Bombyx mori: one gene and its partner. The protein of the gene in region 1 interacts with the protein of each later gene in a pairwise test. Links are inferred from orthologs where the notes say so. Each region holds a gene or a part of one and is shown in the gene's direction. Other genes may lie near its edges.

What was found.
Region 2: the proteins of RNA helicase aquarius (region 1) and zinc finger protein 830 interact in a two-hybrid assay, tested with the Homo sapiens proteins (2 studies listed by BioGRID and IntAct, with this or other methods). The link is inferred for Bombyx mori from reciprocal best matches to the Homo sapiens genes AQR and ZNF830.

The regions. Positions count from the first base shown.
Region 1 is NC_085131.1:6,783,104-6,800,292, reverse strand, and holds part of RNA helicase aquarius, read left to right. Parts: intron 1-3,640; coding exon 3,641-3,876; intron 3,877-5,071; coding exon 5,072-5,289; intron 5,290-6,332; coding exon 6,333-6,502; intron 6,503-7,926; coding exon 7,927-8,058; intron 8,059-12,781; coding exon 12,782-12,919; intron 12,920-13,449; coding exon 13,450-13,541; intron 13,542-14,327; coding exon 14,328-14,526; intron 14,527-17,189.
Region 2 is NC_085115.1:6,214,355-6,232,319, forward strand, and holds zinc finger protein 830, read left to right. Parts: upstream 1-7,160; 5' UTR 7,161-7,324; coding exon 7,325-7,787; intron 7,788-9,441; exon of another isoform or gene 9,442-10,565; coding exon 10,566-10,669; exon of another isoform or gene 10,670-10,860; coding exon of another isoform or gene 10,861-11,592; intron 11,593-11,804; coding exon of another isoform or gene 11,805-12,014; exon of another isoform or gene 12,015-12,237; intron 12,238-13,246; coding exon 13,247-13,416; intron 13,417-13,528; coding exon 13,529-13,676; 3' UTR 13,677-13,738; downstream 13,739-17,965. Other genes in the region: tRNA (guanine-N(7)-)-methyltransferase non-catalytic subunit wuho, read right to left, coding at 819-1,952; ATP-dependent (S)-NAD(P)H-hydrate dehydratase, read right to left, coding at 10,861-11,592, 11,805-12,014; 26S proteasome non-ATPase regulatory subunit 5, read left to right, coding at 14,782-14,963, 15,955-16,099, 16,171-16,392, 16,530-16,782.

The DNA.
Region 1 (17,189 bases):
AAAATGTTCGAAATCTTCGTGGCCTAACGAATAAGACGTCCGGTGTACTCCTGTTGATCGATGTGACTATGCCAGTGTTCGAATCCCACAGCAGATACCGATATTTTTTTTAATATTAAATACATCCTTAACCCATTTTACTGCCGTGTAGGTCATCGATGCCTTACATGGCGCACTGAATTTATTATATCAATTTATGTTTGTAGAGCGCCTGCACTGCCTAACTTTGCTTTAATTTGTTTGTTATTGGACGTTTTAGTATTTTAGATCGTTTAGAAATAGGTTCATTCGCGCTATCTTCGGATTTGTCTCTCCGAGAATCCACTAGATATTTCAGTAATCGACATAATTACTTCAGTGCGCCGCGTAGGGCACGGGTGATCTACATAGCAGTCAAAGAGTTAACGCATGCTCACGAATGACTTCCACGGTGAAAGAATAAGAGCGTGTCAATAAAAATCTAACCCACAAGATTTTCTAATTTGCGTAATTGCGCATTGTTAGAGTGTATCGTAAACAAAGATAAGTAAACCGACCAAAACCGATCTACACGGGAGCCCTCTTCTTCGACGTCGCAAAAGCGTTCGACAAAGTCTGGCACAACGGTTTGATTTTCAAACTTTTCAACATGGGCGTACCGGATAGTCTCGTGCTCATCATACGGGACTTCTTGTCTAACCGCTCTTTTCGATATCGAGTAGAGGGAACCCGCTCCTCCCCGCGACCACTCACGGCTGGAGTCCCGCAAGGCTCCGTTCTTTCTCCGCTCCTATTTAGTTTATTTGTCAATGATATTCCCCAGTCGCCGCCGACCCAGCTAGCCTTATTCGCTGACGACACAACCGTTTACTACTCAAGTAGAAACAAGTCCCTAATCGCGAGTAAGCTCCAGAGTGCAGCGTTAACCCTCGGACAGTGGTTTCGAAAATGGCGCATAGACATCAACCCAGCGAAAAGCACAGCAGTGTTATTTCAAAGGGGAAACTCTCCGCTTATTTCCTCCCGCATTAGGAGGAGAAATATCACACCCCCGATCACCCTCTTCGGCCAACCTATACCCTGGACCAGGAAGGTCAAGTACCTGGGAGTAACCCTGGATGCATCCATGACATTCCGTCCGCATATAAAAACAGTCCGTGACCGTGCCGCATTTATTCTCGGTAGACTCTATCCCATGATCTGTAAGCGGAGTAAAATGTCCCTTCGGAACAAGGTGACACTTTACAAAACTTGCATAAGGCCCGTCATGACTTACGCGAGTGTGGTGTTCGCTCACGCGGCCCGCACACACATAGACACCCTCCAATCCCTACAATCCCGCTTTTGCAGGTTAGCCGTCGGGGCTCCGTGGTTCGTGAGGAACGTCGACCTTCACGACGACCTGGGCCTCGAATCGATCCGCAAACATATGAAGTTAGTGTCGGAACGTTACTTCGATAAGGCTATGCGTCATGATAATCGCCTTATCGTTGCCGCCGCTGATTACTCCCCGAATCCTGATCACGCAGGAGCAAGTCACCGTCGTCGCCCTAGACACGTCCTTACGGATCCATCAGATCCAATAACTCTTGCATTAGATACCTTCAGCTCTAACACTAGGAGCAGGCTGAGGAACCCCGGTAACCGTACTCGTCGAACTCGACAAAGAGGTCGACGTGCAACCTAACCCATGCATCAGCCCGCTGAGTTTCTCGCCGGATCTTCTCAGTGGGTCGCGATTCCGATCCGGTAGTAGATTCATTCGCGAAGCAATTGCTCTTGAGTTGTTAGGTCTCCTTCGGAGGCGCTCGGGCAGTTGTTAGCAAATTCCCCCCCTCCTGGCTGAGCCTTTGCTCGCCCACCTGTCCTGGTGAAGCTGGAAAGGCCTCTGGGCCACCAGTAATGTTTCAATCATAAAAAAAAAAAAAAAAAAAAAAGTAAACAGCATCCACTGTTTTGTTGCGGGCTGTATGAACCAGTTGCTGATGATAAAGAAAATTTGTGCTTTGTGCTGCAATACGGTTTATTTGTATGTTTATACACTTGATATTTTATTTATATGATAAACACGTCCGCTTGCGGTGAAAAGTAAAAAAAAGGAAGAGACTGACATCATCAATGTTGCCAGTCATATAATTTTATTTTCCATACTAAAATGTTGGAGTTGCCAACACCCACCCAATGACGGATCCAGGGGGAGGGTCATGGGGGTCATGACCACCCCCTGAGCTGGGTCCAGGGACTTAGGTGGACCACTAATTGAATATAATGATTTTATTTATATATTTTGTCACCATACAGATTTTATGTAACTACATACCTTTAATATTTAATTAATTTAATATAATATAATTACTTTGTATAATGGCAAACGTTTGAGAACGAACGCATCTAAATTTGACTATGTGACCCCCTCCTGGCGCCAAAGCTGGATCCGCCCTTGCACCCACCGGTCAATTTCTGCCGTCAGGCATTCCGGCTTGTAAGGTGAGGCAGCCGATACTATACAACTGATACTTGAAGCTATGTTTCAAAGTCAGTAGCGGCTTTCACGCTATGTTCCCATGGACTGCTATAAAAAAAAAACAGAAATAGTATCATAGTTATTTTGGCGAACACACAATAGAAACATTGTAACATGCACGTGCCGTGCAAAAATAAATAGACTCATACACAAGTGAACGAAATATGCATTAAACCCGCGAATAAACAGTACCCAAACCTACCCAAGCGCTTACTCATATCTAGGCGTGACCACGCCAAGACGTTTATAACTCTGACCGTAATCAGTGTCGGGTAAAGGATCGTATTATCAAAGATTTTACGGGAATACGTAATTGTGTTTTAACCATCGTGTGTTGCAGAATAATTGTGTATTATTGCAATCAAGTACATCACCTTAAAACGAAACAACGCTTATAGACTCTATTAGATAACTACGTGATTATAGAGTTTAGATTTCATTCCAAATAAATCCCGCAAAATTATAATTTGCGTAATTACTGATGGTAGAGCGTCTTGTGAGTCCGCACGGGTAGGTACCAACCAGCACACTGCCTTTTTCTGCCGTAAAGCAGTAATGCGTTTCAGTTTGAAGGGTGGGGCAGCCGTCGTAACTATACTGAGACCTTAGAACTCATATCTCAAGGTGGCTGCCGGCATTTACGCTATATATATTATGTCTATGGGCTCTGGTAACCACTTAACATCAGGTGGGTTGTGAGCAGGTCCACCTATCTAGGAATAAAAAAAAACACAGATATCCTACTTTACTATACCTAGTATATTTTGATGAAAGGTAAAATTTCATCGATAATGTCGTGAGCAGGTGTTAGGATCGTGGTCACTTACGAAAAAACAATACTATTACCAGGATCTTACCGTAAAGGTGCGAAACACAGTGTGGCAGTTTGACTAAAACGAACAACAATAACGAAACTAAATAGATCGATTGTTTTCATAAAACCGAAATCCCTCATGCTTTGTATGTACCTACTATTTATTATTCAGCGGGTTCTTAATTTTAATGAATACCTAATCGATATTTCCGTTTAGCCCGTTGAAGGGGCCCCGGTCACGGGTAGACTGTGGCTAGGATGTTGGGAGGAGTCTCATGATCTAAATAAGCGTAAAAGCTCAAAATGTTTCCTTATTCTACCAGGAATTCAGAAGACGGAAGCGTTTATTTTGGGGGCTGGGCGCGGATGGCGCATCCTATAAAGAGCTTCGCAGTTGTCGAAGTGGCCAAACCGAACATCGGCGAGAAGGCCCCGTCGAGGGTCCGAGCCGATGTCACCGTCACGTTGAGCCTCAGAAACGAGATAAAACACGAATGGGAAAACCTCAGGAAGCATGACGTTTGCTTCCTGGTAACCGTCAGACCTACACAAGGCATAGGTAAGGTAACTTTAAGAACCATTAAGTTTGCGAATACAATAAATTCGTCTGCAATTTATTTAGTTCATTTTTGTCAAGATTTTATCGTATACTAGCTTTTGCCCGCGACTCCGTCCGCGTGGAATAGTTACTTTGGCATAACGCTAAATTCTACCCCCACTTCATTTACGTAGAAAGTGAAAATATTTTTGAATTATAGAATGTTAAGGAGCTATTTAAACCCCTATTTTGAAACATTATTTATTGGTGCGCCACTTGTCTTGCCGTGATGTTATATAGCCTAGCCTTCCTCAATAAATGAGTTATCTATTACTGAAATAGTTTTTCAAATCGGACCAGTAGTTTCTGAGATTAGCGCGTTCAAACAAACAAACTCTTCAGCTTTAGAATATTATAGTATAGATGATTTTGAGAAAATATCGTGTTCTGATAGACTGCTTACGTTACTTTTAAATTTGTTTTTTATGCTGTTGTGATATAATTGTATTTATGTTGTCTATTTGTGCCAAGAAATGCTCTCCGAAATATTTAGACGACTATCACGGCGCCCCGACGTTTGGGTTTCCCCAATTTCTATGATGTGGTGTCGGGACTCACCGACTTAGAACGGAATCAAGGTCTTTCCCATAATAAATTCGAGGCATCTGTTTTTGAAATTCAAGTGCGCTTCTGTTTTTTACGTCCCGACCATCGACATTCCTAGAATCGATCCGATTCGTTGTAAGAAATAAAATTTAAATTATCTCACTGAGTAATACACGTGAAATAAAACGTGAAGCACATACGAGGAAATTGTTGCTCCAATTGCTCAAAAACTCTCAGAGATTCGTCATAGATAGTAAGGATAAGTGATGCGTACGCATAATGACTATGCCGTTCACCAAGCAATGGAGCTGTCTGAAAAAGGCAAGGGGACATTGCGGAACAATATATCCCGACCTCTGAATGAGGTCCGACTTGACAGCATGACAACACAGGATAGAAATTCCCAGTGTAGACGAATTAGAAGACCCAACCCCACCTAAAGTAGGACAAGGAAAGGAAGAAGAAGAAAGAATAAAACACGTTTTTTTCTGTTTGCGTATTATTCGTCCGATTGATTTGAAATTACATCAGTCGTTGATATCATATTGTTATAAGATAGTTCTCTCTACTATATAGACATATTCAGCTTCAGATTTGAAAATTCTTATAGGTACAAAGTATGACTACAGAAAGAGTATGGTGGATCAGGCGGGGATAGTGTACGTGAGGGGTTGCGAAGTTGAAGGTATGCTGGACGCATCCGGCAGAGTCATTGAGGACGGGCCGGAACCGCGGCCGGAGTTAGAGGGAGATTCCAGGACCTTCAGGCTCTTACTCGATCCTAACCAATACAGACTTGACTTGGACAGAGCTAGTAAAGGGAATGAGGTAACTATAACAATTATTGTTCAGGACTCTATTTTGGGTTTTGTACCAAACTCCTGTTCGCATCTACTGGGACCCAATCGTGGGGACCTTCTAGAAGAGACGGATGATCGCAAGTAAATAGTGGTCGTAGCCTAAAAGATAAGGCGCCTAGTGTACTCGTATCGAGCGATGCGATAATACCGGTGTTCAAATCCCGCATGTAGGTACTAATTTTTCTAACGAAATACGCACTTACTACATGTTCGCTAATGAATACAAGATGAAAGAATAACGGGGCTAATAAAATGAAATCAATTAAAAAAATGCACGATAATGTTGTGGCGTTTTTTTTTTATACTCTAGTGACCCCGAGGGGTCATACTAGATTTGCCGAATGACTAGGTGAACTCACATGGATCTGACCTGTTGTTGGGGCGTATTGTCGCATGGTAACACCGTCTAGTCTATTTCCGCCACAAAGCCGCCGTGAATTGAGGACATGAGTGGATGAAGGGGATATGATATAATTTGATAATTTTGCGAAAACGGGCATCAAATTTTTGTTAGGTACTTGTACTTTTTATTCGAACATAACTCCTTCATAACATGCAATTTCTAAAAAAAGCGTCTAAACCCGGAGTTTTAAGTTCTAATATGGTTTATAGACACATAACGCCTTCATTCAATGTAAAAACTCAAAATTCTTAAAAATGGTACTTAACCCCTTCATCCACTCAAGTCTTCAATTATAATTGAGACTTCACTCATCGTGGATGTCATTATTCAAAGCGTGATGTATTTGGTTACTGGTAACCGTTTAAATTCCAATAAATAATTGATTTAAAGTAATATGAAAGCTTTTACGTGAATCTGGTAACGTCTACATATATCTAACAGGAACAGCACTGTCTTTTTGAATGAAAGGCGTCCTTTTTATGTACCCCTGACAACGTACGTGTATGTGCTTAGTGATGCGCGATTTATTGGTTAAGGCGCGAAAGCGTCACCGATTTATTAAACCGATATAATAAATCGGTGACGTTATTTTAAAACGATTATCGCAGGACGTGTACGAGACTTTCAATATAGTTATGCGTCGTAAACCGAAAGAGAACAACTTCAAGGCCGTATTGGAAACGATACGAGAATTAATGAACACCGAATGCGTTGTACCGGACTGGCTTCACGATATAGTCTTGGGCTACGGAGATCCCGGTCAAGCTCATTACACGAGGTTCGTATATATTTTTTTTATATATGATTGAAAGATTACTGGTGGCCCGGAGGCCTTTCCAGTTTCACCAGGTGAGGTGGCCGAGCAAAGGCTCAGCCAGGAGGGGTGGGATTTGCTAACAACTGCCCGAGCGCCTCCGAAGGAGACCTAACAACTCAAGAGCAATAGCTTCGCGAATGAATCTACTACACGATCGGAATCGTATCTCTATTATCTTGGTAGTATCATGGTCATGGGAAGCGTGAGTCTGCGAATCAAACTGAAGATGGATTGAAAAAAAAAACACGTCTAAAATTCACGCGCCATAGAAGCGAAACCTTCCGAAGTGTTTCTATCTCATTCTCTCGCATGCTAAATCGTATAGATATATGTTTGTCTCTTTTCAGTGTCGCTTTTCCGTTTCATTGAGTTTTAAATTGTTAGGTTTATAAATAGTTTTATTTGTACCAAAGGAGTGATAACAATTGCTTTATGCGTTGAGGAGAGTGTTGTTTCGTTAAACGCTCTGTAAGATAGTTCCGACTAGTTATTGACTCGATGACGTCAGAATATTACCGTCTACTTTTATACCCAAGGTCTTTTTGGCCACACGAGCATCCTCTTACTGCATATATTCCCCTTACAACGATAACTTTCCACTCTTTACTTATCTACTATATTATATAAACTTATCTTAAAATGTCTTCATATTGAGACATTGATACCTACATTTCTTTGACACTGTGAAATGGATTTAACAGTGTCCAAGAAATTGACATTCGCACTGTTTGTTAAAAACTAAAAGTAAAAATCTTAAAATAGAATTCGTCATGATGCGTCAGAATTTATCTTGTTGAATTCCCAGAAAACCACGCGATCTGATGAAGCGTATGTACGTCAATTAGATACAATTACTTTTATCGTGTATTGAGTGTAGGTAATATATGTACATATGCGTCGTTTAATATGTATGTAATTTCATATTATATTAATGTAGATGAGAAGAAAATCTTACGATCTATTAGCATTCAATGAGTGCTCACAACCTATAGGCATCTTATAGGCATCACAAGATGCCGCCATCCGCCTTGAGACATGAGGTCGAAGACTCAATCGCATAACTGCTTCGTGGCAGAAAAGACCTGAATTTTGGTACCTAACCGTGCAGGCTTTCAAATACGCCTTATCAGTATACATATATGCTGATTTAAAATTGCAGTACGCTGGTATAATACTAAGAGAATGCTGGTATCTTTTTTATTTATTGCCCATGTAGGCAGACGAGCATACGGCCCACCTGATAATGTCTCGGTATAGTTACAACGGCTGCCCCACCCTTCAAACCGAAACGCATGGCGGGGTGGTGGTACCTACCCGCGCGGACTCACTAGAGGTCTGGTCCCATTTATCGGTATGAAATTCGTGACCGCAGTGTACTCCCACAGGATGCCGAACGAGATAGCTACTCTGGACTTCAACGATACATTCCTGAACATGGATCATCTGCGGAACAGCTTCCCGGGGTACGAAATCAAGGTGCAGACCAACGACCCAAGGAAGCTCGTCAGGCCGTTCAAGTAAGTTCAGAATTTACTTGCAGAGTGCATCCTAAATCTATACTAATATAACTATATCTATACTAATATATAAATCTACTGTGGTTTTTACGGATGTTCCGTTATAACTACTGAACCACGCATCCGATTGACTTGAAACTTGGTATCCATGTAGAAAATACATGTACCTGATGGATAGGCTAATATTTATATGAGTGTTGGACTCCTCACACCAGGGGTGTGAGGAGTCCTTTTATAGGCCTTTTTTGTTTGTATGTCTTCAAGTAGTTTCATACGGTCCACAATATTTTTTTTTTGTTTAAAAACAAAAAGGAAACAGATTTTCTGACTTAAGACGGGTGGGTCCACATAACCACAAATGAATAATGAACCTTTATCGTGTCCCTTGTAAGTCACTTTTTCTATGAGTTCTTTTCATAAATGCACGCGAAAAATTCGTTATCAAATAAGGAAACCGCTCATTGTAATAACGGTGTCGGTAGAAATCATTTTGAATCTGTTATGTTAATATTTGTGTGTGCAAATAAAATGCAACACGACTAAGGGAATAACAAAAAAATATATACACCATATTTTGTTTGTTGCTTAGATGGTTCGACGAACTCACAGTCCACCTGGTGTTAAGTAGCTACTGGAGCCCATAGACATCTACACCGTAAATGCGCCACCCACCTTGAGATATAAGTTCTAAGGTCTCAAGTATAGTTACAAGTTGTTTTGTGGATCATTTTTTTTTTTTTTTATTGCTTAGATGGGTGGACGAGCTCACAGCCCACCTGATGTTTAGTGGTTACTGGAGCCCATAGACTTCCACAACGTAAATGCGCCACCCACCTTGAGATATAAGTTCTAAGGTCTCAGGTATAGTTACAACGGCTGCCCCACCCTTCAAACCGAAACGCATTACTGCTTCACGGCAGAAATAGGCAGGGTGGTGGTACCCACCCGCGCGGACTCACAAGAGGTCCTACCACCAGTTTGGCGTCCCTTTGTGAGTAGCGGCCGGAGTTTGATACTACTCCTTGCCCTTGAGTGGCGGGATTAGCGACTTGACGACCTTGATTATTTAACACTAGACGGGTCGGGATCTCGTCCACTCGTTTATGCAATGGCCAAAGTCTAGTCGTTGTTCAAGTCCCGCGCATTCGTTGAACCGCAAACAATAGAAACGTTATGTGTCAATGTCACGTGCTTCTTCGGGCGTGACGTCATTGTAATACTGAGAATAAACATGGGCATTAGAGATTCATTTTCATACCTCGTTTTGATCTTTTGGAATCACGATGCTTCCGTTATCGCTATACAAATAAGTAATCTATATCTATACTAATATATAAAGTTTTTTTTTTATTGCTTAGATTGGTGGACGAGCTCACAGCCCACCTGATGTTAAGTGGTTACTGGAGCCCATAGACATCCACAACGTAAATGCGCCACCCACCTTGAGATATAAGTTCTAAGGGCTCAACTATAGTTACAACGGCTGCCCCGCCCTTCAAACCGAAACGCATTACTGCTTCACGGCAGAAATAGGCAGGCGCGGTGGTACCTACCCGTGCGGACTCACAAGAGGTCCTACCACCAGTAAGCAGAAATAGGCAGGGGCGGGGTTTTTATGGTTGTTCCGTTATAACTACTGAACCGTGCATCCGATTGACTTGAAACTTGGTATCCATGTAGAAAACACATGTACCTAATGGATAGGCTAATATTTATATGAGTGTTGGACTGATTCTGCCACGAAGCAACGAAGCATATTACACAATTCAGATTTAATATCTCAAGTTGTCTATGGAAATATAACTTTAAAATTATTTAATAAAAATAATTAACAAAAGCATATTAAGTTTTCAGAGTCGTAGACATAAATATGTAGACACGATATATCTACATAATCTATATATTAGTACGTGAAGCAAAAACTTTGTACCCCTTCTTACGAAAATTGCGCGGACGCATACGGAGTATGAAAGGGGATGGCCCATTTTAGGCCCAAAGCGGACAATAGATTATAGAAAAAATACTTAGTGCATTAATTTTGTCATAAATAAATATGCATTTATTTTCTTGCAAATAAGCGCCACTATAGTTTACAATAAGTAGTTTAAAAAAAGTAACTCTATTGAAAAAACAAGGATTTTTATTTTTGCGGGAAAAATATTGCCAGCTTCAAATCCTTTTACGTATGAAGTAAATATTTTGAGTATATAAATAAAACATATAAATAAATCATTTTAAGTACAGTCAAAACCGTTTACTGCGACATCGTTTAATACAACATGCCGGTTATAATAACCAAGAACAAAGGTCCCGGCTGAATGCCATATGACCGCCTTATTAAAAATATTGCTTTCTACGACATTGGTAATAACGACATACCTCATAAAACGACCACATTTAACTAATATTTCGGAGAATTAGATCTGTTAGAACGACCGGCTAAGCTGTATTGTAAACAATTTGAATAGGTATCCACATTTGTCTTCAATGGCTTTTAAAATCAGGAAAGAAAACAATAGGATTTAGTTTAGTGTAGGGTCTTTTCTAATTCTTAGAAACAAAACACGTGCATGCGGTAGTCAAAGCCCGCTTCTTCATATCTCTTCACTATTTGTTACTTATCTATACACGAGACGCACCAAAACTTTGTGGAGTTATTCGTGAAACTTTCAAAATGGCGCAAAGAAAAATAAAACAAATTAATATTGAAGAAAAATCGCGTATTGTATAAATATATTATTCCAATAATTCCCTATCGATTTGTTTGTACTTGCACGATACACATTAAACATCACCGGTTGTTACGACTATCGGTTTTTACGACTGAATATGAGCAGTCCCTTCGATGTCGTTATAACAGATTTTGACTGTATTATCATTAATCAAACGATTTTAATGGATTTTATGCACATAAAATAACATCTAAGACATACCCATTGGACTTTAACTTGTAACTATACTTGAGACCTTAGAACTTATATCTCAAGGTGGGTGGCGCATTTACGTTGTAGATGTATGTGGGTTCGAGTAACCACTTAGCAACACCAGGGTGGCTGTGAGCTCGCCCACCCATCTAAGCAATAAAAAAAACTTTACTAGTATTGTTATTTAAATATGTACAACTAAAACAAAAACATAAAAAATAATGTGTACTCGTAAAAAAAATATTAAGATATAAATCAATTATCGGTTATTTAAAAAAATAATCGATATATGAATTTCATGTAATTATTTTTCTTTATACTGACAACACTGAATTTAATCTGACTGACTGACACTTCGCTTGCTGCTTGTGGTGTTGTGCTTGCGTACAAAATGGATGTGTTTTGATTTTTCTTCGATTTATTATACTTTTATCAATAACGTTTCATACTACGACTAAAAACATTGTGTGAATTGTGGTTTTACCCTGACCGAGATTTAAAACCGTGTATATGCTCTCCTTTGCTATTTTTAGATGATACTAATTGTGTATGAAGATGAAGAAAATATAGATATTTAAAGAATTAAGTGTGTTTTTATACCCTATTGGATAAAAATACATTAGGAACATCTTAAACATTAAGAAAAGAAAAGTTCTTGAAGTATCTCACAATCCGACACTTATTTATATAGAAAATTAACCTCAAAACGAGTTTTTATTTTTATTGTATTTTTTATAATAGTGGCGTCAATTTCAATATATTTTTTAGATATCCAATACATTTAAGAATTTGAATCAGTACATTTTTATAGTAATATTTGATGTCCATCTTGGGCCTAGCACACTATGGAGAGTGGGCAATCCCCTTTCCCACACTTATATGAGAATATAGAGAAGTAGTGCAGTAGAATGTTAATTTTTTTTTAAATTATGCATAAAAATACATTAACTCAATAAGAAAAACATTACACACACAAGCATGCATATTATTTGTTTACTGTAAAAAAAATCTTATTGCTCATAGTCTATGGTCAAATTGAGAATAGATTAAACATTGTTTGTCTTTATTAATATTTGTCTAAAGTGTAGTCTTGACGAAATCTGTGATTATAGAAGTAAATAGTCTTTGACAGTAGAATCATAATAGTGTACAAACTTATAATTTTAATTAATTATAGTAGAATTTCGACGACCGCGGGGTCCACTAGTGATAATAACAACGCGCTAAATGATTAAACCGGTTAAGTAGTTTCAATATAATTCTTATTGAAATTCTTTATGGATTGTTTTCAGCATTTTGACTAACTTTTGTTTATCTTGCGTGCGGGTAACTCTAAAATCTGTCACTGTAGGATCTCGATTCTAAGGCCTGTTGGTGTTGCCAACGTTCTTAGAGCATCAATGTATTTTATCCGGTAGTCTGAAATTCTGATGGCACTGTTTTTCCATATGCTACTATACAAGTTCTACAGAGGGGACTATGTCATATTATGTCTAAACTTTTAATGTGTGTTTGGACATGGAAATCAACGATGATCGATTAAGGGTCGCCGCACACGGGCCACCAGCCGCAATCACAAAAAGCCGCCACCGGAATATTTCTTGTAATTTTCACACATTTTATATGTAGCGTGTAGCGGTCACCGGCGTCATCCGTGTGCGGCGAGTCCATATAAAATGTATGAAAATTACAGGAAATATGCCAGTGGCGGCGTTTTGTGGTTATGACTGCGGCGTGCAGCGGTGACCCTAAGGCGAAGTTGTACATATTAAAATGATTCGTATAAATTACCCGTTTAGGTTGACTTTCGAAAACGTCGTACGGAAGCAGCAGGTCGGGGACGCAGCTATGGACGAAGACGAACCCCGCAAAGCGATCATTGTCGAACCCCACGTACAACCGAAGAGGGGACCGTATTTGTACAACGAACCAAAGAAGTGAGTATCGATATTTTCTTATTTTGTTTTTTTTTTATTGCTTAGATGGCTAAGCTAATAAAGAAAGACAAAGGCCTGTTTACAGGATTACAAAAAAAAACGTAAATTATAATATATTTTTTAAAGAGCTTACAGTAGAGCTCAAGGCCACAAGAGAAACAATACAGTATGAGAATCCAACCTTATGATTCTTTTTTTTTTGTTTAGATGGGTGGACCAGCTCACAGCCCACCTGGTGCTAAATAGTTACTGGAACCCGTAGACATCTACGACGTAAATGCGCCACCCACCTTGAGATATAAGTTCTAATAAGGTCTCAGTATAGTTACAACGGTTGCCCCAGCCTTCAAACCGAAACGCATTACTACTCCACGGCAGAAATAGGCAGGGCGGTGGTACCTATCCGTGCGGACTCACAAGAGGTCCTACCACCAGTAATGAAGATGTTGACGCAACCTGCTTTAGTAGTCTGTCGTAAGTCTCGACAGCTCCGAAACAAACGATCTAATAATATCCCTTTATTTGTACAGGAATAATATACTATTCACTCCGACACAAGTGGAAGCTATACGTTCTGGAATGCAACCTGGACTCACATTGGTCGTCGGTCCACCTGGAACTGGTAAATAATGTTCTTGAAAAACGCTTTTTGTTTTCAAAGCCTTATGTTGAGGGGGCGGGGGTGGTGTCTAAGTCTTGCCTAATTTAAATGTTTATATATATATATTTTTTTTTTTATACTTTTTAAATAAATATTTACTAACAATCACGCCACGTTAACTGGTCCCGTGGTGAGTTCGTAAATAACTTTTGTTACAGGTACCAGATAACGGAAATAAATGTAATATTTTTATTATACACATACATATATTTAATATACATCCATAACTCTGGAAAAGACGTTTTTATATTGATCATACAAATATCCTCCATTGGCGGGATTCGAACCCGCGACCCCCTTGTGTAGTGACCATGTCACTTACCACTACACCAGACGGCCGTTAAATAAATAATTAATAAATAATTCACTCTCTGATAGATTCGCCTGAATTGCCATCACACATTTCATTAAACACTAAATTTAGTGCTCTTAGGGTCAACTAAAACAATGTGTTTGCATTATATTATTAATTATTATTAATTTGCAAGAACAATATATCATATTATAGTTAGTTTTTAATAAAAAGACATGTCTGTCATGTATTTGACACACACACACAGGCATGCATATTATTTGTTTACTTTTGCTTGTTGTTATTTTTTGCGTATCTTTTTAGCTTGTAATGTGTATTATGTGCCTAATATATAAATAAAAAAATTAAATATAATATTTAGCGGCAGATGGATGTGTAATCTCTCCCCTCCCTACAGGGTCTTGGTATGCGTTACCACGAGTGTTTGATTTCAGGTAAAACGGACGTGGCAGTTCAAATAATTTCGAACATATACCACAACTTCCCGTGGCAACGTACCCTGGTCGTAACGCACAGCAACCAGGCCCTGAATCAGCTATTCGAGAAGGTCGCCGAGCTGGATGTAGACGAAAGGCATCTACTGCGTCTCGGTCACGGCGAGGAAGCTCTTCAGACAGACAAAGACTTCTCCAGGTCAGTTCACGTTAAGCATATATTTAACCTGTTCCACTCCCGATTCCGAGGTAAGCCAGTACTAACTTTTTTTTTCCTACTTAACCTGAGAGCCTTGAGAGGCTATTTCAGCGTAACCTTAACTAGTAGGTGAGCTCACGGGGCTCGCACCTGACGACGATGCTAACACGAACCCTAGCAAGAGCAGTGCTTCGCAGAATCTACCAACGGATCGGAAACGCGACCCACTGAGAAGATCCGGCAAGAAACTCAGTGGGCTGTGTCTGAGGGTTAATTTACTCGTCGAGCCCTAGTCTATCCTAAGATAGATTCAATCCGACAAATTGTTGAATATTCGTGTAGCGTGTAAAGACTTATCGTATTATGGTCGCGCCCTGTACGTCCATCGCTTCGAAAGGCAAACGTACGTGTTCAAAAAACTTTATTTGCAAATCGATATTATCTATTTGATAGTTCCGTTTTTGTGTTCAACCAGTGAATACAAGTCACGCTTCACCGTGAGTCACGCCCTAAATCCAAATCGGATGCGTTTATGATTAATTCGAAGAATACATACGACATTTTAATGACCCTCCGTCTGTTGGGTCTGGGGGACATGCTTCGTCTATGGGTCGTGAGTGGATGGATGGACGAGCGGTTTTGGTTAGTCCACTTTATAACAGACCTCGTCGGCAGATTTCAACGCTTGATATGAAGAAGACGATTTTGCTTTTGGTCAATTAAAAGTTTTCATATGCCTAAACTGAACTGCGTAGGTGGTGGGACATTACATGTTTATGTGAATTTCCACAGCGCGACTGGTTTTGCTCAATAGTCCAACGGTTCGAATGATATTTCTCGGAATTTGTATTATATAATAAATGAAAATTCATTTTGAAAATGACGTCAGTCAACCATTTTGAAATTCTATTATATAAGTCACCGCTACACCTATGTGACGCTTAGGTTGTGACACAATTTTAAGTTTTGATTTGGATATGCCCATTAGTTTGTTTTCGATCATGAGCATCGGTGACCACTTACAATCGAATTTAATTATTAAATCAAAATGCAAGGTAGTCTCAATACCTAAATCCTTTTCCTTTACCTAATAACCTAAATCCTTTTCATAATCGAAAAAAAGGGTGCGTGTACTTATGTACGCGCGTAAGAAGTTATACTTTATTTTTATTAAATTTACTTCTTCTTTTTTTAAATATTAAATAATTAATAATTAATATTTAACGTTAATAATTTAATAATATTTAGTATGAATTATATTAAATAACTAGCTGACCCGGCAAACGTTGTCTTACCATATATAAGATTTCTAGAGAATTTCTAGTGTAGAAAAAAAAAAACTAACTTATTTGAAGTGTATAAGGATGTGGAATATGAGTGAAAAAGGCCTGGAGCGCTGTGAACGATGAGGGAATGTTGTTTAAAAATAACAAAACACCAAACATTAATTGTTTTAATTTATTAAAAGTAATAGTTATATATATAATTAATTCATTACATAATATTAATCTCTTAATGCTGCAGCGTGAACAATATTTTTTGTTAGCCCGTCTTTAGCTAATACAAACAAACTTGATGGTTTACCCACTTGAGAGCATGCAACGCATAATTGTCCGTGTGAAAAATATAGTGTGCTCAAATCTAAGCCACAAACAGACATTGTTTGGTCGTGGTATCAATATATTTTCACCTCGAATTTAATTGAACCACCTTTAATTGTAAGTTATGTGGTGGCATGCCTGGCAAATCCAGTGAGTTCAAAACTCTGTTGGAAAATTTACAGCTTCAGTGTCATCGCAAACTGTATCAATACATTTATATGATACCAAGTCCCCTGGCAATAACTGTTGTATCTTCAGATTTAAAATGTCAACGTCCACATGTTTTGCAGCTAACATTGCTCTTTCTGCAAGCCACTCGAGATTTATGTAATTCGTGTGTACATCGGGAAATATTTGTTCAATGAGAGCATCTTGCGAATCAATGATAGTGCAGAAATCATTCGCTAATTTTATGTATTCAGTTTCAGCTATAGTGACTTTTCCATCGCCGATATCTAAGAGTTGTTTTGAGAATGTTTCAGCGGATGGATCTTGAAGCATTTGAACGCGCATATTTACTTTCAGCTGTACTATTTCAACATTACGCCACAATGTCGATGATTTTAAACAGGCGTTGATTTCATCAGCGTATGTTGAATGTGGACTGACGGGAAGTGTTTGTCTGAAGTCACCTGAAAGGACTAACAGAGTGCCACCAAATAGTTTGTCGTTGTTTTTAATATCTTTCAATGTCCTGTTCAACGCCTCAAGCTAATGTTTGTGTGTGTACATTCATATTTTCCACTCTAAGCACCGCCATCTCACTGCCTTTATGGACATAATTGCAAATGTATTTGATGCTCTTCACAGAACTGCAGAACTCAACATTAATATGAGCATTGTATGTTTTGCTCAGCAGGGGCGAATATGGCACGACCCAACGATTGTCAATATAAATGTCTGTGTTGCTGATGTTTTTAATAAATGATTGTCTGCCATTATCTGGATTCCTTCGACGATATATTGGATATCCGTTGACATTTGTGATCGTATCGTTAGTGAAATCTTTAGGGAAATTTTTTGTACATTTTTCATCTGACATGCAAGGCGATGAACTAAAAA
Region 2 (17,965 bases), on another chromosome or scaffold:
CGAACTTACGGAAGTTCGTAAGTAAGCTCCCTAGGGAGCGCGCGGGATATGTGGGACTTGACGATCTGCAAGTTGTTGGGAGCAGACCGCGGGCGCAAGGACTTTTAGGGCCCTACCGCACAAACGACTCCCCTGCACTCTTACACCCGACGTCCGATCTCCCTCCGGGTTCAGAACCCGGTCGACTCGGGGGTTTCCCGCGGTCAACACTACAACCAGACACCGGCGCCACCTCGACGACGCCCTACCGACGGGTCGTCAAGGCGATAGTCGACGACCAACGACGCCGGTCTCCGCGGTACGGCGACCCTATCAGGCCGCTCGGGCGATGCCGCTAGTGTTCCGGGATACCCCGCTGAGCCAGAACGAACCTGCCGGGTTGGAATGCGATACACCACCGACCGGGTTGCTCTTCCACAGTATGTTCGGCGACGACAGCGACGACAATGCGGACCGCACCCGCAGCCGCCGACGCGTCGTCCCGTTCTCCTGGTGCCAGCACGCTAGTGACGGTAGCGTGCGGCGCAGCCTCAATCCCCTTAGGTGGCGACCTAAGGGGGTTGAGGGCGACCGTGACAATTACTGGGAGGAGACTGCCTCCTAATAGGGCCCGGAGCTGGACAAACGGCCTTCTTCAACTCCCGGGTCGGCGGCGGTGGCACGGCGCCGAGAGGGAAGAAGAGCTCTCCCTCTCCCGTTCCACCGCCTCCTTTTCCTAGGTGGTGGACTCGCAGAAGTCAAGCATAATCATTAATTAATTTAGTCTAACATGTAAGACTTAATGAGTAATTATAATAAAAAATAGAATAAACATTAATTCATTTATTGTCTTTATTTTTCAATTCTAGTCTTTGTTTCTTTCTTTCTTGATATTCATGAACATTATCAAATTTTCTTTTATACAAAACCTTAATTGATTCCAATTTATTACTACAAATTATATTTTTCTGTACATCTCCAAACATTACAATATTTTTATTAAATTCTATTAACATCTTTTCAGATATTGACATGTTATAAATGGTCAAATAAGCACTTGAAATATCATACAGATAAAGATTTAAACCAAAAAATAGTAAAGATGATGGCAATTTTTCTACCTTTAACTTATATTCTAATTTATGGCTAAACCCGTGGAAATCATCTAAATTTAAATTGTAAATAAATACAATATTCAAACCATGAAGAGCAATAGCTATTAGAGTTACATGTTTATTAACTTTGGTTACTGCAAAAGCAACAATTGGCAAAGATTTGATTTCAACACCCTCTGAATCCATTTGTTTTATGAATACTTCTTTTAAATTTTCATCATCAATTATATCATTTGTATCAATTGTGTGGCATAATTGTCCTTTAACATAGTCCCACAGTTTTACAGTTCCATCACCTGAAGTACTTATCAAATAATTATAATTATTAGGTAAGATTTCAATATTTTTTACAAATTCTTTATGGCCTAAACAGTATGTTTCAATATTGTATGTGTTAGGATAGCAAGATATCCTAATTTTTTCATCTCTGTCGCATGTGATTATATATTTTTCATCAATAGTTTGCAATATATCCAAAAGAATGCTTAAATGCCCCAGCAATTTTATACCAGATTTTCCTTCATCTTCTAGATTATACAACAAAGCATCACCAGATTTATCTGCTACTAAAATGTGTTTGTTATTCTGAGTAAATCTTATTTTACTGGCACTTCTTGGTAGGATTATCTTTTTGAGAATTTCAAGACATGATGAAAACACTACCAAATTTTTCGATATTGATGTAATTACCGCTATGTATTTCTGATCACCCGAAACGGTAATATCTACGATGCAATCATTCTCGGTCTCTTCCGATGTTGATAATGTTATTATTTTATGTGTATGATAATCATAATAATCTAGAAGTAAATTTCTTGCGGCAACTATAAAGTTATCGTTTACTGAAAAACAAGTCATAATTTTATTATAACTCCTATGTACTTTATTACTTTACTTACTTTTAATAGCAAACTTTAGCAAAGTAAGATTTTTAGGCTAAAAAACTTTTTTTAATTTATTAATTTTTAGATTGACATAGGGAACATAGTTCATACTACCTACTTCGTAATAAATGTCAAAGCCATGTCTGTTGTATGAAAAATTACATGAAACGGGATGAAATTTGAAATATTATTGATTTTGGAGATAAAATTACCTAATAAAGAGAGATATAATATGACAATATCATAGGTATAGGATGTGATAAAATGAAAAACCTTTCAGTAAATGTTGTTTGTTTATTGAAAGTTCAAAGGACTTTTTGGAAGCCACGTTCAGCCATTTTGATAAATTTGTTAATAATATATTTTCACAGGTACTAATAAAGTTAATTATGATTAAGGTACCAGTATTAGACACTTACAGCTGAAAAAACACAAAATCACAACATAAAACAAATTACCTTCGTTACGTGCTAAAATTGACTAGATATTTGTTTTTTTTTATGTTTGGAAATTGGATAAGTGCGTTGCCATTTTCGCGTTCCTAAATATCTTCAATTATCAAATATCTACATTTTCTGTTATAGGAAAAATGATATGCTATAAGCTAAATGATTAATCATATGAATTGAAATGAGATGCAGTTGATTAATATGAGACTTCAGTCAATTAGGATAAAATTAGATTAAACGAGATGAGGTGGGATGAAATAAATTCGCAGTAAAATGCTGGTTATCTACCGAGACTTTTCCAGTGGACTTTTTGAAGCCATATTTAAGCACTTTCACAGATACTAAATAGATAATAAATCTGAAAAAACCTAAACCACGACAAAATTTAACTATTTATACAGCTTGGTGCCTCACGCTCCCGCCAAAAAGTTCGGAAGCAGATTTGATTATGATTTTCGTATGCTGTACATTGTCAATGTCACTGTGGTGTCATTCCATAGTAGACCTATATAGTAGGGACACGACATAGACCTATATAGTAGGGACACGACATATTGTTCTATACGTACAATTGCTTATATAAATAGCACCCATTTTGAAGGCACATACATAAACATATATCTATCTCGTTCTTACTCAGCACTTTAACTCGCAGGAAAACAATATAACAGTATTTCAGTGCGTACATAAAATGAAACATGAATATACGTAAATATCTCCGTCTCCGTCTAATTAGGCCGAAAATCCGCCATGTTTAGCGCGCCAAATGTCATTGTCACGTCAGTTCGGCCGTCTGTTTTGGGTTGTACATTATTTATTGACTTTGATATCGATTTAATATGATTGATTATATAAAATTTCATAATTTATCATGCTTAAAACATACAAAAATAATAATTAAAACGTATTTTATAGGATCTCAAGAAAGTCGATGTCCTAAAACTATTATCTATATGTATTTAAATTCATTATGGAGCCCTCATCCGAAAAATCCATTTTCGGTCGGAATCTATTGATCATGACACTAATCATAAATACCACTTTAAAATATGTCATCAAAACATATTTAGACATTCTGTTTAGATATTTCGGGAAAAAGGCTACCGACAAAATATCTTCGGAACTATTTAAATAAAATAGTTTTATTCCGCAGTGAGTAAAACACTATTGTAAATTTGTTAAATATTTAATAATTAAGTGATTTTAGAGAGGAAGTCACAAGGAATGACGTTTTTAATTAATGAATAAATGTTCTGTAGGTGTTTTTTTTTTCACGCGGTCCCTTGATAAGTTTAAAATTTGAATCACTCTCAAGCGAAAGTGATTCAAATGGTGCGGCGCACCTTCCTTGGGGTGCGCTGCGGTAGTATGTTACGGACTTTAGAGTCAGCAAAACAATTAAAATAGATTGTAATAGTCTAAGAAAAACACGTACTCAAAATACGATAACATTTAGCATGCTAGAAATGGGCTGATGGCTTTGAACTACGCCATATCTTTATGTTTTGCGACAAACGACAACTTTATAAAATCAGTGTAGCAACTTTTAAAAATCATCATATCGTTTACTTGGCAAATTCGAAGGACGAACTTGTCTTAGATTTCACCCATCTAAATCATATCATATTTGCACATAACAATATACCTACTTACTTCCCATTAAAGTATAAATTCTACAAATAAATAATACTCAACAATATTTAAAATAAAATGAGCCAAGAACGTTTATCGATAAAACCTGATAACATTGAAATCTTTTGTACAGCACTAAAGCCGCCATGTTTTGTGGCCAGATGACGTCACAGTGGCACGAAATTTTTGTTGACGTTTCATTTCCATAGGTTTCCTACTTCATTGGGACACGACATATTGTTCTATACGTACAATTGCTTATATAAATAGCACCCATTTTGAAGGCACATACATAAACATATATCTATCTCGTTCTTACTCAGCACTTTAACTCGCAGGAAAACAATATAACAGTATTTCAGTGCGTACATAAAATGAAACATGAATATACGTAAATATCTCCGTCTCCGTCTAATGAGGCCGAAAATCCGCCATGTTTAGCGCGCCAAATGTCATTGTCACGTCAGTTCGGCCGTCTGTTTTGGGTTGTACATTATTTATTGACTATGATATCGATTTAATATGATTGATTATATAAAATTTCATAATTTATCATGCTTAAAACATACAAAAATAATAATTAAAACGTATTTTATAGGATCTCAAGAAAGTCGATGTCCTAAAACTATTATCTATATGTATTTAAATTCATTATGGAGCCCTCATCCGAAAAATCCATTTTTCGGTCGGAATCTATTGATCATGACAGTAATCATAAATACCTCTTTAAAATATGTCATCAAAACATATTTAGACATTCTGTTTAAATATTTCGGGAAAAAGGCTACCGACAAAATCTCTTCGGAACTATTTAAATAAAATAGTTTTATTCCGCAGTGAGTAAAACACTATTGTAAATTCGTTAAATATTTAATAATTAAGTGATTTTAGAGAGGAAGTCACAAGGAATGACGTTTGTAATTAATGAATAAATGTTCTGTAGGTGTTTTTTTTTTCACGCGGTCACTTGATAAGTTTGAAATTTGAATCACTCTCAAGTGAAAGTGATTCAAATGGTGCGGCGCACCTTCCTTGAGGTGCGCTGCGGTAGTGTGTTACGGACTTTAGAGTCAGCAAAACAATTAAAATAGATTGTAATAGTCTAAGAAAAATAACATTTAGCATGCTAGAAATGGGCAGATGGCACTGTACTACGCCATATCTTTATGTTTTGTGACAAACGACAACTTTATAAAATCAGTGTAAAATCAGTGGCAAATTCGAAGGACGAACTTGTCTTAGATTTCACACATCTAAATCATATCATATTTGCACATAACAATATACCTACTTACTTCCCATTAAAGTATTAATTCTACAAATAAATAATACTCAACAATATTTAAAATAAAATGAGCCAAGAACGTTTATCGATAAAACCTGATAACATTGAAATCTTTTGTACAGCACTAAAACCGCCATGTTTTGTGGTCAGATGACGTCACAGTGGCACGAATGTTTTGTTGACGTTTCATTTCCATAGGTTTCCTACATAGACCTATTTTCCTACTTCAGTGGAGTATGTACCGTACAATGGGGTAAATAGGGACAAAATCGACCTTCAGATTGAATTTTAAAATAGTTCCAATTAAATAGTCACTGCTCAACCAAAGAAATAAGTTGAGTCTTGAACGTACCTAGGTGATAAAAACGGTTACATAATTTTAATTATTCATTTTAAAGAAATAATCGGTAAAATAATGGCCGTCCCAATTTACCCAGCGTCCGGGGTAAATTGACACGGTTAAGGGTTAAATTGGGATATTTGTAAGGGTTGTCAACTCGCAGTACTGCGATATATAGGTAGGTGCCATATAATTATTTATATGGACCGAAATGATGAATACAATCCATAATTTAAGCACAATACACAACATAGTGTAAATGAAGCTGGTTTCTATTCCGAAGCGATGTGACGTGAATGATAATCAACAATACAATGATCAAAAAAAGTATGTGCATGTTATATTTTAGAAAATTATTATTTAATTTCCTTAAAAATCACAACTCTGAAACAAAATGATAAAATAGAATAAAAAATAGAAAACAAAAGGACTGGAAATGCAATAATACAATTTTATTTAATCAACATTTTCAAAATAATCTTTGAGCAAGAGTAAGATCAGGTGAATAAGATAAAAAAACAGCTTTATCTGATTACTGCCAATTATAACAAAAATAAAAGAAATTCTTTCTAAGCTAAATAACTAAACTCAATTAATTCACTCACTCATAATTGGATATCCCGGATTTTTAATTAATGTTACATTTAAAATCTGAGGCCTGTTTTTATTTGTGTGTGCGTTTTGAATGTTAACAAAATCATGATTCGACGCGTGAATAGATTCTGAAATAACAAAAGTTTTGATTCGTTTGAGTTCTTTTAACTTTTAATTTTTTTTATTGCTATAAAGAACATACGACCGGGCAGATATTACAAGGTAAATGTCGCGAAAAAAAAGTAATTATATATATACTTTTCTTTTACCTATAATACTTACATAAACTAACTGATAAACACATTAACCTTCTTTACATCACGCAATTAAGTGATAGGGCTAAAAAATCTATTATAAGATATCAGTGACAACCCTAACAAGCCATCCCTATTTTGTCTTTTGGCGTTCCAATTTTGTGTTTTCTCGTCCCTAATTATTCCAATCTCGTTCCCAATTACCCTACATACGTCCCAATTTTCCCCAAAAAGAAAGGAAAAAATATACATTTTTTATTTTGTCGAAATATTGTATTTAAAATAAGAATATTGCAACTTACCGTTTGTTGTGGTATTTCCAGGTGTATTAAAAACTTATATAAACTGTGATCTTATTGAAAAAACAACGATAATATTACTTTTTTTAAAAGTTCTTTAAGCTGTTTTAAAACGCACTTTTCAACCACTATTTTCAATTTAATTTGACGAATTTTTGGGACCAACTTAACTCATATTTAGTACTTCCATAGTTAACTTGGTTTTTCTTCTATACATTGATAAATATTAACATAAACAAAATTAGGTAGATTCCATGCTACAGGTACTTTGAGAATCTTCCGCAGGTTTGTCCCAATTTACCCCAGGATCCCAATTTACCCCATGTCATGGTACATACATAATTATATAAACTAGATAATAGATTTAAACACATAATATAATGTAGATGTATTACAGTGATTGTGCCTATTAGCTGAGAAAAATTGGTGTATTATTGTGTGATTCCGTTGATGGTATTAGTTTATAAAACAATTTAGCGTTACACAAACGAACATGGCACTCAGGTTGCAAATCGAAAAGAAGAAAGCTCAAGAAGAAATGCGTCGTTTGATGGCAGAAAGGAAGAAGAAGGATGTCAAACGAGTAAAGTTAGATCATCCTCTCGCAAGATATAATAATGTGGGACATCTCACTTGTTTGCTTTGCACTTCCGTCGTGAGATCGGAAAATGTTTGGCAAGTACATCTCAATAGTAAACAACATCGAGAAAATATTGAAAATGCTAAGAAACTAAAGGAACTGACGAATAATTTCACTGTAGTCAACAAAGTTAAACACAAGAGTTCCAGTCCTCCAAAAGATGCACCTCCCGAAAAAAAGATAAAAGGAATATTAAAAAATGTAGGCACCGTGCCAGTGATAACAAAACCCAAAAATGATGTCCCAAGTGTGGTAGAATTTCACAATGAAGAAATTAAAAGAACTCCACTTAATCCTGTTGTAATAACAGAAAAAGGTTAGTCCTAAATGATTTAACTAGAGTACTTGAAATCTCATAATGAAAAAATTCTGTTGTATTACATTTTAAAAATAGTTCTGAGTTTTGATTTGTTTAGCTTGATTATACATAGATAATTATGAAATACAAACTTTCCATATGTTTTTCAACACTATTCTCACGTTAAACTAACAACTAGTTTAATCTTAAATAGATTTGTTTACCAAGCATATTCTTTAAAGTGCTATATTCTTTAAAATAGAATGATTTTGAGGAATTCCCTAAAATTATTCTATCTATTTGTTCATTTCATTCTGTGAATCTAGACTGAGAGGCTGTAGGAGTTTGAACTTTTCCTGAGATAAATATTAAATGAATTTATCAAAACTATGATTTCTTCAATTTTTAACTATCAATAACAATTAAAGTGACAAATAATTTTCCACTTTAAACAAAGGTATTTAAAATGAAACTTATCCACAATTTTTTCTACCCCTTTTTTCAGTGCATACATTTTGTTTTTAAGCTCTACTTACCTATAAACTATTTTTATACAAAAAACTACTTTTGATACCTAAGTTTATCTATAAACAGCTATAAACAACCAACTATAAACAGGTTGATATCAGAATGACAACTTGCTTAGTCAATGGTATATTAAAAGTGACTAGAATTGGTTACATTGTTGTATGAATTTGTTTTGAGCGACAACTGAAAGGGGAAAGGTCTTAGGGTGAACTGCTGAACAAAAATACTGCATAGAGTTAATTTTTTATGTCTTTTTTATTGCTCATCTGGTGTTAAGTCGTTACCAGAGCCCATATACATCTACAACATAAATAAGACCCAGCCCCCTAGAGACCTGAGTTATAAGGCCTCAGTACCACAGTTGTCCCACCTTTCAAATCAAATAATTACTGCTTTACTAAGCAGTAATTATCTTGTGAGTCCGCACTGATATGTACTCATATCAGTGCGGACTCACAAGATGTCCTACTACCAGTAATTACACAAATCATAATTTTGTCTGTTTTATTTTTATTACACCGTGTTATTGTTTCACTATGAAAGTCAATTATGAACTTTTGCTAAGTATGTATTTCATTATATACCTTCTTCTTCTGTTTGATTTTGGCTCGCGCGGCTTGCGCCTTTCATTATATACCTGCATGTAGGATTCAAACTCCGGGACACTGGCATCATTTTATACAAATGCACATGTGTATAAAATGATGCTTATACATTTTATACTAATACAAATGTCGTACCCTGCAGGCCCTATCTTCGAATTTGCGATTCTGATGATTTGACTGTATAAGTAAAGCTGTATAATCTAGTTGATTTTAAAATCTTTTCTCAGCTTGACTTTATATAACCTCCTTGAGGTAGTATTCTGGTTTTTTTTTCTTTCATATTTATAGAAAAGCAGGTTCTCAATTTGAGGATTTTTTTTCGGGGCAGGTATTATTATTTTCTCACCATTTTTGCCCACTGAGTTTCTCGCTGGATCTTCTCAATGGGTCGCAATTCCGATCCAATGGTAGATTCAATGAAGTACTGTTCTTGCTAGGGCTGGTGTCAGCAAATTCTCTCAGGGTTAGTGAGTAAGCTCACCTACCCGTTCGGGAATAGCTGAATAGCCTGTTAGAGTATCAGCGAACAGAAAAAACTATTTTTGTTTCTCCTTAGTTTTATTGAGAAAATAACAAATTTAATATTTACTCACAAAGCTACCATACCATCACCTGATGGTATTACACACCTATTCCTGATGAGAAGCACAATTTTTTCCAGTTTATAAGATTGAGGCAGCTATCACAATTGAGGCTTAGTGAGCTTGTTCACCTGCTTATACAATTTAAAAAAGTAGAATATGATATTTTAAATGTCAGTCAAAATTGTCTAATTTTATGATAAAAATGTACTATGGATGAACTCATCAGCTGTAGTGAATAGTAGTAGGTAGAATGTAAAAACAGGGCAGTATCTTGACCAAGTTTTTTTTTCCCTACCTAAGCTGATAGCCTTGAGAGGCTATATCAGTGTAACCTTAACTAGTAGTTGAGCTCACGGGGCTCAAACCTGACGACGTTGCTAACACGAACCCTAGCACGAGCCGTGCTTCGCAGAATCTACCACTGGATCGGACACGCGACCCACTGAAAAAATCCAGCGAGAAACTCAGTGGGCTGTGTCTGAGGGTTAATTTACTCGTCGAGCCCTTCGTCGCAAGCGACGGTTTCGATGAGAACGGTGACCAGTGCTTGAGGTATCTAAAAGCACTGTTAGTGGATCGGGAGGATCCGAAATGACGTGTTTGGGGCGACGTCGACTGCTTTCCATTCTGTCCGCAGGATCGGGAATGTAGTTACCGACGGCCACGATGCGAGGGTTCTCGTGTCGTGCCGCTTTGGCGAAGTGGCACATTGACGCCGACTGTAGATACTTACTGATGGACTCTAAAGTCCAGGTCGTTATGGAATTCAACGTTCCTGACGAACCACAGAGCTTCAACCGCTATCCTGCAAAAACGGGATTGAATGATTTGGAATGATTTTAAGTTAGTGCGGGCCGCGTGAGCGAACACTACACTTGCATAGGTAGTGACGGGGCGTATGCAAGTTTTGTAGAGTGTCACCTTATTTCTAAGGGACATTTTACTTCGCCTGCATATCATTGGGTACTTCTCTGTAGTGCAAACCACAGACATAAGTCTTCTCTTTAGAAATATAATTTCTAAAAATGATTCTCAGAGTGAGATGATAGCCAACAGTATATCATAGTATTATGTTTCAGTTAATGAACCTGTACAGACTACAGATCAAAAAGAAAAAGAGGAACCTGCAAGTGATGTACCAATACCAGAAGGTTTTTTTGATGACCCAGTTTTAGATGCAAAGGTAACAGATATTAGATGTTATAAAATATCAACTAACATATTACTTCATAACTCTTCTGCTTTTTAAACACAGCACATAATTTAGTTAATTTGAGTAAAAAACATTACATATTATACATTATTAATATATACATACATGATAATTTCATTAAACCATTATTTCACAATCACTATCCTTATAGAAACTAAACATTACTGGTCATATAATTCTTCAAAAGCATCATGTATAAATTCTATCATATCAGTAGCTAACATACTTCGACCTTTTAATTTAAAAGCCTTTTCATTGCACTTTCTTACTAAAATACATGCAGCATAACAAGACAAAGAAGCTGCTAACATTTTATTATTAGATATATCTGGTATTTTAATTTTATCAATATTAGCGAGAGTCCAATGCATGAATGTAGCTATAGTTCCAGATAATAAATCACCCTGTCCTCCACACCTCCGTCCAGATCCCCCAGTCTCCAATGACCAAGTGAACTCAGGAAATGGACTTATTAATTCATCATTGGGCCCTTTTTTTAATATAGTAACATTTTTCCCCATTGTCTGTACATCTATTTTATTACTTAGTCGTTCAAATTCTATTTTGTTAGGGGTTAATATTACTGGTGAATCAAAATCTTTAATTAAGTTTGGTTTTTCTGTTATTAAAAACAAACCATCAGCATCAATGATAATGGGTATTTTCTTTTGCTTGATGACTTCTATTAATTTTGCTATTATATCAAATGTTTGCCAATCTCTTCCTAATCCAGGGCCAATAACTATAGAATGGAGTCTGTCAAACCATGGTAATATTTCCTCAACAGCATCTTGCTTATCTAGTAGTGGATGCACTATTAATTCTGGGCTATATGATTTAATTACTGCAGAAGCAACTGAAGAACAAAATATATGTGCCAAGTCTGCACCTACCTGCAATTTTAACAAATATGTTCTTTATTATCAATATTCGTTTTAAATTACACTGGATGTTTTCATATTCAGAGTAACACATAACTTTTGGTTGAGTATCATGATTAATGAATAATTTCTTTTCCTAGAATGTGGATGTATTTATGTTTATGAAATTTTGTTTATTGTATGAGTCTTACCTAACAAAAACGGAATACTGAATAATTACTAACTTTGAGTGAGCTAATCCCCGCAAAATAAGGTGCACCAGTATATTCTAAAGAACCACCAATTACCCCTATTCTTCCGGCTTGCCCTTTATGACTACTTTTATCCAGAGGTGGTATGCATATTTTAATAAGGTTTTTCATACTTGTAGGATCCATGTTGTATCTATGTCTAATAAGAGAAAAACTTTTCAACAAAATTAAATTTGTTTTCATTGAAAGACCTTAAAATCTTACGCTTCGAACGATACTGCTTTATTTTTAAACTTGTGAAAGAATCATATGAAACGTATGCCACTTTCGTCAAAGTTAACAAACTATCATTTTATTAAGTTAAACCTCGTAAAATACTGTAGTATAGTACATAGAAATCGCAAAAAATACCGTAATAACATTATCAAATTACCATGACACACTGAGAATGTTTTTTTAAGGGATTTTATGACCTGGTAACTAAGACCTTTAGGTCAAGTCTTATTTTAATTTTAATGAAAACTTTTTTTATATGAAAAATAATATATGGGATGAAATATAATCTCAGTAAAATGGTGGTCATTTACTGAGAATTTTTCAGTGGACTTTATGGAAGATCGTCGTGGCCTAAAGGATAAGACGTCCGGTGCATTCGTGTTGAGCGATGCACCGGTGTTCGAATATCAGGTCAGTACCAATTTTTCTAATGAAATACGTACTCAACAAATGTTCACGATTTACTTCTACGGTGAAGGAACAACATAGTGTAATAAAAATCAAACCCGCAAAATTATAATTTGCGTAATTACTAGTGGTAGGGCGAGTCCGCACTGGTAGGTACCACCACCCTGTCTATTTCTGCCGTGAAGCAGTAATGCGTTTCGGTTTGAAGGGTGGGGCAGCCGTTGTAACTATACTGAGACCTTAGAACTTATATCTCAAGGTGGGTGGCGGATTTACGTTGCAGGTGTCTATGGGCTCCAGTAACCACTAAACACCAGGTGGGCTGTGAGCTCGTGCACCCATACAAGCGATAAAAAAAGATCATACCGATACAAATTTCATTGCTTTCACGCTACGTTACGATGATGACCGGCACCGACATAATTGTATATGGGAACAGTTTATTGATCCATATGGGTTGCAAATACTTGCAGTACTAAACTGAATTGATTTTGTTTGTATTTTAATGAGAAAAAATATTTATTCACTAAATGTAATCATCTAAGTCACACTCGGTAATAAGCCAGGTAGGTCCCACTTATTTCTGCGGTGTATCGGTTATGCGCTCCAGTTCGAACGATTTTTCAATGAAATTGAGATTTCTACATCATATCTTAATGTGGATGACGACATACACGTTGTGATATCTATGCTAAACTCCAACACAAAGTGTGATGTTCGCTGCTTGTTCGCTCGTCTACGTAAGAGAAAATTCGTTATGCTTATTTTGAAAATTGTTTATTTTATTTTAGGTTCGTAAGATTGAATATAAAGATCCAATTGAAGAGGAATGGGAAAAATTCAGAAAAGAAATAAAAGAAGAAACTAGTGCATCAGCTGAAATTATAGCAGGTGAACAAGAAGAAGCCACTGCAGAGCGACAAATAGAAGAAATCGACGAACAAATTAGAAAATGGTCCCGGTACGATAAAAACAACTCTGAAATTTTACTTTTAAATACCTAAAATTTTATTAAATTAAATAATTTTAAATTATTCAACATAGTAATGAACTTAATTTCCTTTTTTTTACAGAGTCCTGGATTTGGAATTACAAAAAGAAGAGACGAAAAAGAAAATACACGAAATGGACCAAATGAGCTTAGACGAAAATTGTGAATCAGAAAACGAAGATGATATAGACGAATTTTTAGATTGGAGGTCTAAAAAATCGTTTACGTAACAAAAAGTTTTTTCTGTTGATATGTGTTATTAAAATACTTTACTATAATGAGCTACATAAAAGTTCTTTTATTACGATTTACCCTAATCTTTATCTAAATTATTTTATATTTTGATATTTTTTTATTTTTATTGCTTAGATGGGTGGATGAGCTCACAGCCCACCTGGTGTTAAGTGGTTACTGGAGCCCATAGATATCTATAACCTAAATGCGCCACCCACCTTGAGATATTAGTTCTAAGATCTCAGTATAGTTAGTGTTAGTTTCAGAAAGTGAGATCACCCAAAACCAGTTCGGGTTCATACCTGGTCGCGGGACAACGGACGCCATATTTGTACTTCGCCAAGTGTGCGAAAAATACCATGACGTGCACAGGAATCTGCCTAGGGTGTTCGTTGATCTGGAAAAAGCGTACGGCCTTTTTTTCCTAGTAGGTGAGCTCACGGGGCTCAAACCTGACGACGTTCCTAAAACGAACCCTAGCAAGAGCCGTGCTTCGTAGAATCTACCACCGGATCGGAAACGCGACCCACTGCGAAGATCCGGCGAGAAACCCAGTGGGCTGTGTCTGAGGGTTAATTTACTCGTCAAGCCCTTCGTCGAAAGCGACGGGTTCGACGAGAACGGTGACCTGTGCTTGAAGTACCTAAAATCACCGTTAGTGGATCGGGAGGATCCGAAATGACGTGTTTTGGGCGATGTCGACTGCTTTCCATTCTTTCCGCAGGATTGGGGATGTAGTTACCGGCGGCCACGATGAGAGGGTTCTCGTGTCGTGCCGCTTTACCGAAGTGGCGCATCGACGCCTAATGACTTAAAAGTCTTAGTTACCAGATCAGAAAATCCCTTAAAAAAATAATACCCAAATAAACACACACATTTAGACAGGCGACTTGCAGTTTTTGTCTTGTAAACATAAATGAAAAGTACCGTATGTACCTCAAGTTCTAATTAAATAAAAAATTTAATATTGGAAACACAAACATAAACCAAAGTATATTTGAAAATTTAATCTTTTTTTAGGAAACATATTATTATCTACTTTATTTGGGAAACTCGTTTCTTGATTATAAAAATAGTAAATAGTCAATTACTGAAAAAATCATGGATGCTGAAGTTGCAGAACAGCTTAGAGATCTAATTACTAGATTACAAACTGATGAAGACATACCAAGTGCTATGAATCAGCTTAAAACGTTATTAGTTTCCGCACCAACTGAAATTTCTGAAACTATCCTAGAGGTAGGATTATCCAAAATACTCCAATGCTTCAACATTTTTGATAGGTATGTAAATTTCAGTTGGAATAGTATATCCTTTATAAATTGTTATTACGCCATTATTCTCATTAACCGAGAAGGGTAGACGAGGTATTGCTCGCCCTATATTATAAAGGAATTACTGGAGCCACCTTAACCTTAACTTGAATGACTTCGCTAAAATGCCTCATGAGGTGTATTACTTAGCAGAGCGCAATAGCGCTAATTCCACTTTCTGTGACCGCCACTAACTATTCTCGAGATTTGGTTCATGCACAAGCTAGCCACCGTCAACGCTCTAGACACGTCCTAATGGATCTACGCGATCCACTCTCAAGCACTTCGAGAACCTACTCATAGCTGCATCCAAACAACAGGTCATCATAGTCATTGAATTGGTTGAAGAGTTCAATGTGAAACCTAGCTAATACAATCGGCCCAAAAGTTTTGCTAAATCTTCTCAATGGGTTCCAATTCTAGTTGTAAATTCCTTTATGAAGCAGCTGTTCTTAGGTTTTTTTGGAGGTTTTTGGGCGGCTAATAGCAAATCCCACACCTCTTGGCTGAACCATACTCACCCATCTATTCTAGTGGAGATGAAAGGCCACTAGCAATCCTTCCATCTCAACAAAATGTCAGCATTTTAGAACTCTTTAAAGTTATCATTTATTCAGGAAGATCTACAGCAAATGCAACTTTGTTTTTTATTTCTATCTCATGTAACAAAGATTTGATTGAGGTAACAATAAAAAGTTTAAGGCTAATGAGCTAATGGGTGAATTGCTGTTTAGTGGTTATTGAAGCCCATAGATATCACAAAAGTGAACCCATTTTGAGACACAAATTTAACCTCTCAATTGATTGTATAATAGCTGCCCCATCATTCAAACTGAAGCCCATTATTGTTCAGTGAGAGAAATAGGCAGGATGGTAGTGAGAGTTTACAATATCCCCAACCACCAAACAAATTGGACAAATTTGTGAATATTAGAGACTTCATTTATTCATTATTTTTCAGACACCTAGTTGATTTAATATGTGAAGTGCTCACACTGTGTTTTGAAAAATTTTCACCTGGAGAAGTGATTAAGAGTTTTACAGGTAACTTCATGTATTTGCTACGACATGAAAATGCACATGTTCGTAGACTTGCTGTAGATGAGGTAAGTGTTACTTTCTAAAGATGTATTGGTATGATAAAGCATTCATAAAACTGTATACTTTATTTATACAGATTGCTAAAGCAGTGATATCAAGCTCCAATGCCCTCCCAATACCACAGTATATTGATGTGTATGTAGCTGTTGGTCAGCTTGTTGGTGATAATGATATAGGCGTTGCTAACAAAGCTATATTGATTACATCAAATTTGCCAGAAGAGGCTTATACAAAAGTTTTGGAAGAAATGAAAATTCTTTTAAAATGTTCTTCTAGTAGCAAATGTAATGTTTTTGAGGTAAACCATGTCTTTTAAATTTTTAGTTGTTCTCTAAACTTTTATAAAATTACTAGATTTAATATTGAATTCATAAATTTATCATACTAAGAATATTATGTTATTCCAATTAAATCATATTAAAAATTAATTTACAGGTGATAATTAACATTTCCATTAAATCTTATGATTTGTTCAAAATTTGTCTTGAGCTGGGTTACATAGATATCATGGTGCAAGAAATCCAATCTCTTGATGTACTGTACCAATTAAATATTTTGGAACTCATGTCAACCTTGGCAATCAAACCATACGGTATTAATTACCTACTCAATAGTGGAGCAATGGATAAATTGGTAACAGTTGTTATTGACTTGAAAACTTCACCTGTTGGTGGAATATTGATACCAGGTAATAATGATTTAATATTAAAATAAGAAGACTATTGATAATATGGTATCAGCTAATGCTAACTACTGCTATTCCAATGTCAATTTGGCAACAATATACCACCTTACAACAAGTAGTCTCTGTTTTATGTAGACACTTTTGTCTTCTTTCTTAAAACAGGCATTACTCAAGTGATATCAGATATGTTGTTAGTATCAAACACTGTATGATTGTAATCCAGTGAAAATTGGTGGACACTCCTGTGGGTTGAAATACCCCATTAATGTCTATCACAATCACATCCATGCAGGACCTGTTCAGAACAGACTGTAATGCTCTCAAAATATTCCCGTCCTGCGGACAGAATGGAAGGCAGTCGACGTTGCCCCAAACACGTCATTTCGGATCCTCCCGACCCACTAATGGTGCTTCTAAGTACCTCAAGCACTGGTCATCGTCCTCGTCAAACCCGTCGCTTGCGACGAAGGGCTCGACGAGTAAATTTACCCTCAGACACAGCCCACTGAGTTTTTTGCCGGATCTTCTCAGTGGGTCGCGTTTCCGATCCGGTGCTAGATTCTGCGAAGCACGGCTCTTGCTAGGGTTCGTGTTAGCAACGTCATCAGGTTTGAGCCCCGTGAGCTCACCTACTGGTTAAGGCGACGCTGATATAGCCCCTCAAGGCTACCAGCTTAGGTAGGAAAAAAAAAGCTCTCAAAAATGTTAACTATGACTCATTGTCTATCAACTAGAATAAATAAATCTAGAATAAATAAATTATAAACAATTTCAGCAGCAGTTTAATGCACGCCTATTTTTTAATAGAGGCCATATGCACCATATAACTGCAGTTACTCATTTGGGCGTTGGCACTAACTTTCTCAATTGTAATAGTAAACCAGCTATCGTATTGTGCTCAAGCTGGGACTTATTGCTTTGTGGTAGACATAAGTAGGGTACTGGTAACCATGGGCTTGCTACCTATCCTACTTCCATTACTTTAGATAGGAAGTAAAATTGATATTTGAGGAAAATATTTCCAGGTGGATGAATAGAAAATAGTAGACAGTTGTGATGAGTCAGAGTCATGAGTCAGACAATTGTGATTAATCACTGTTTTACAAGCATTAGCTATGTATGTATATAATTATTAATAGGTATAAATAGACAAAGAAGCACAGTAGCAAACGTAACAATGATTTTA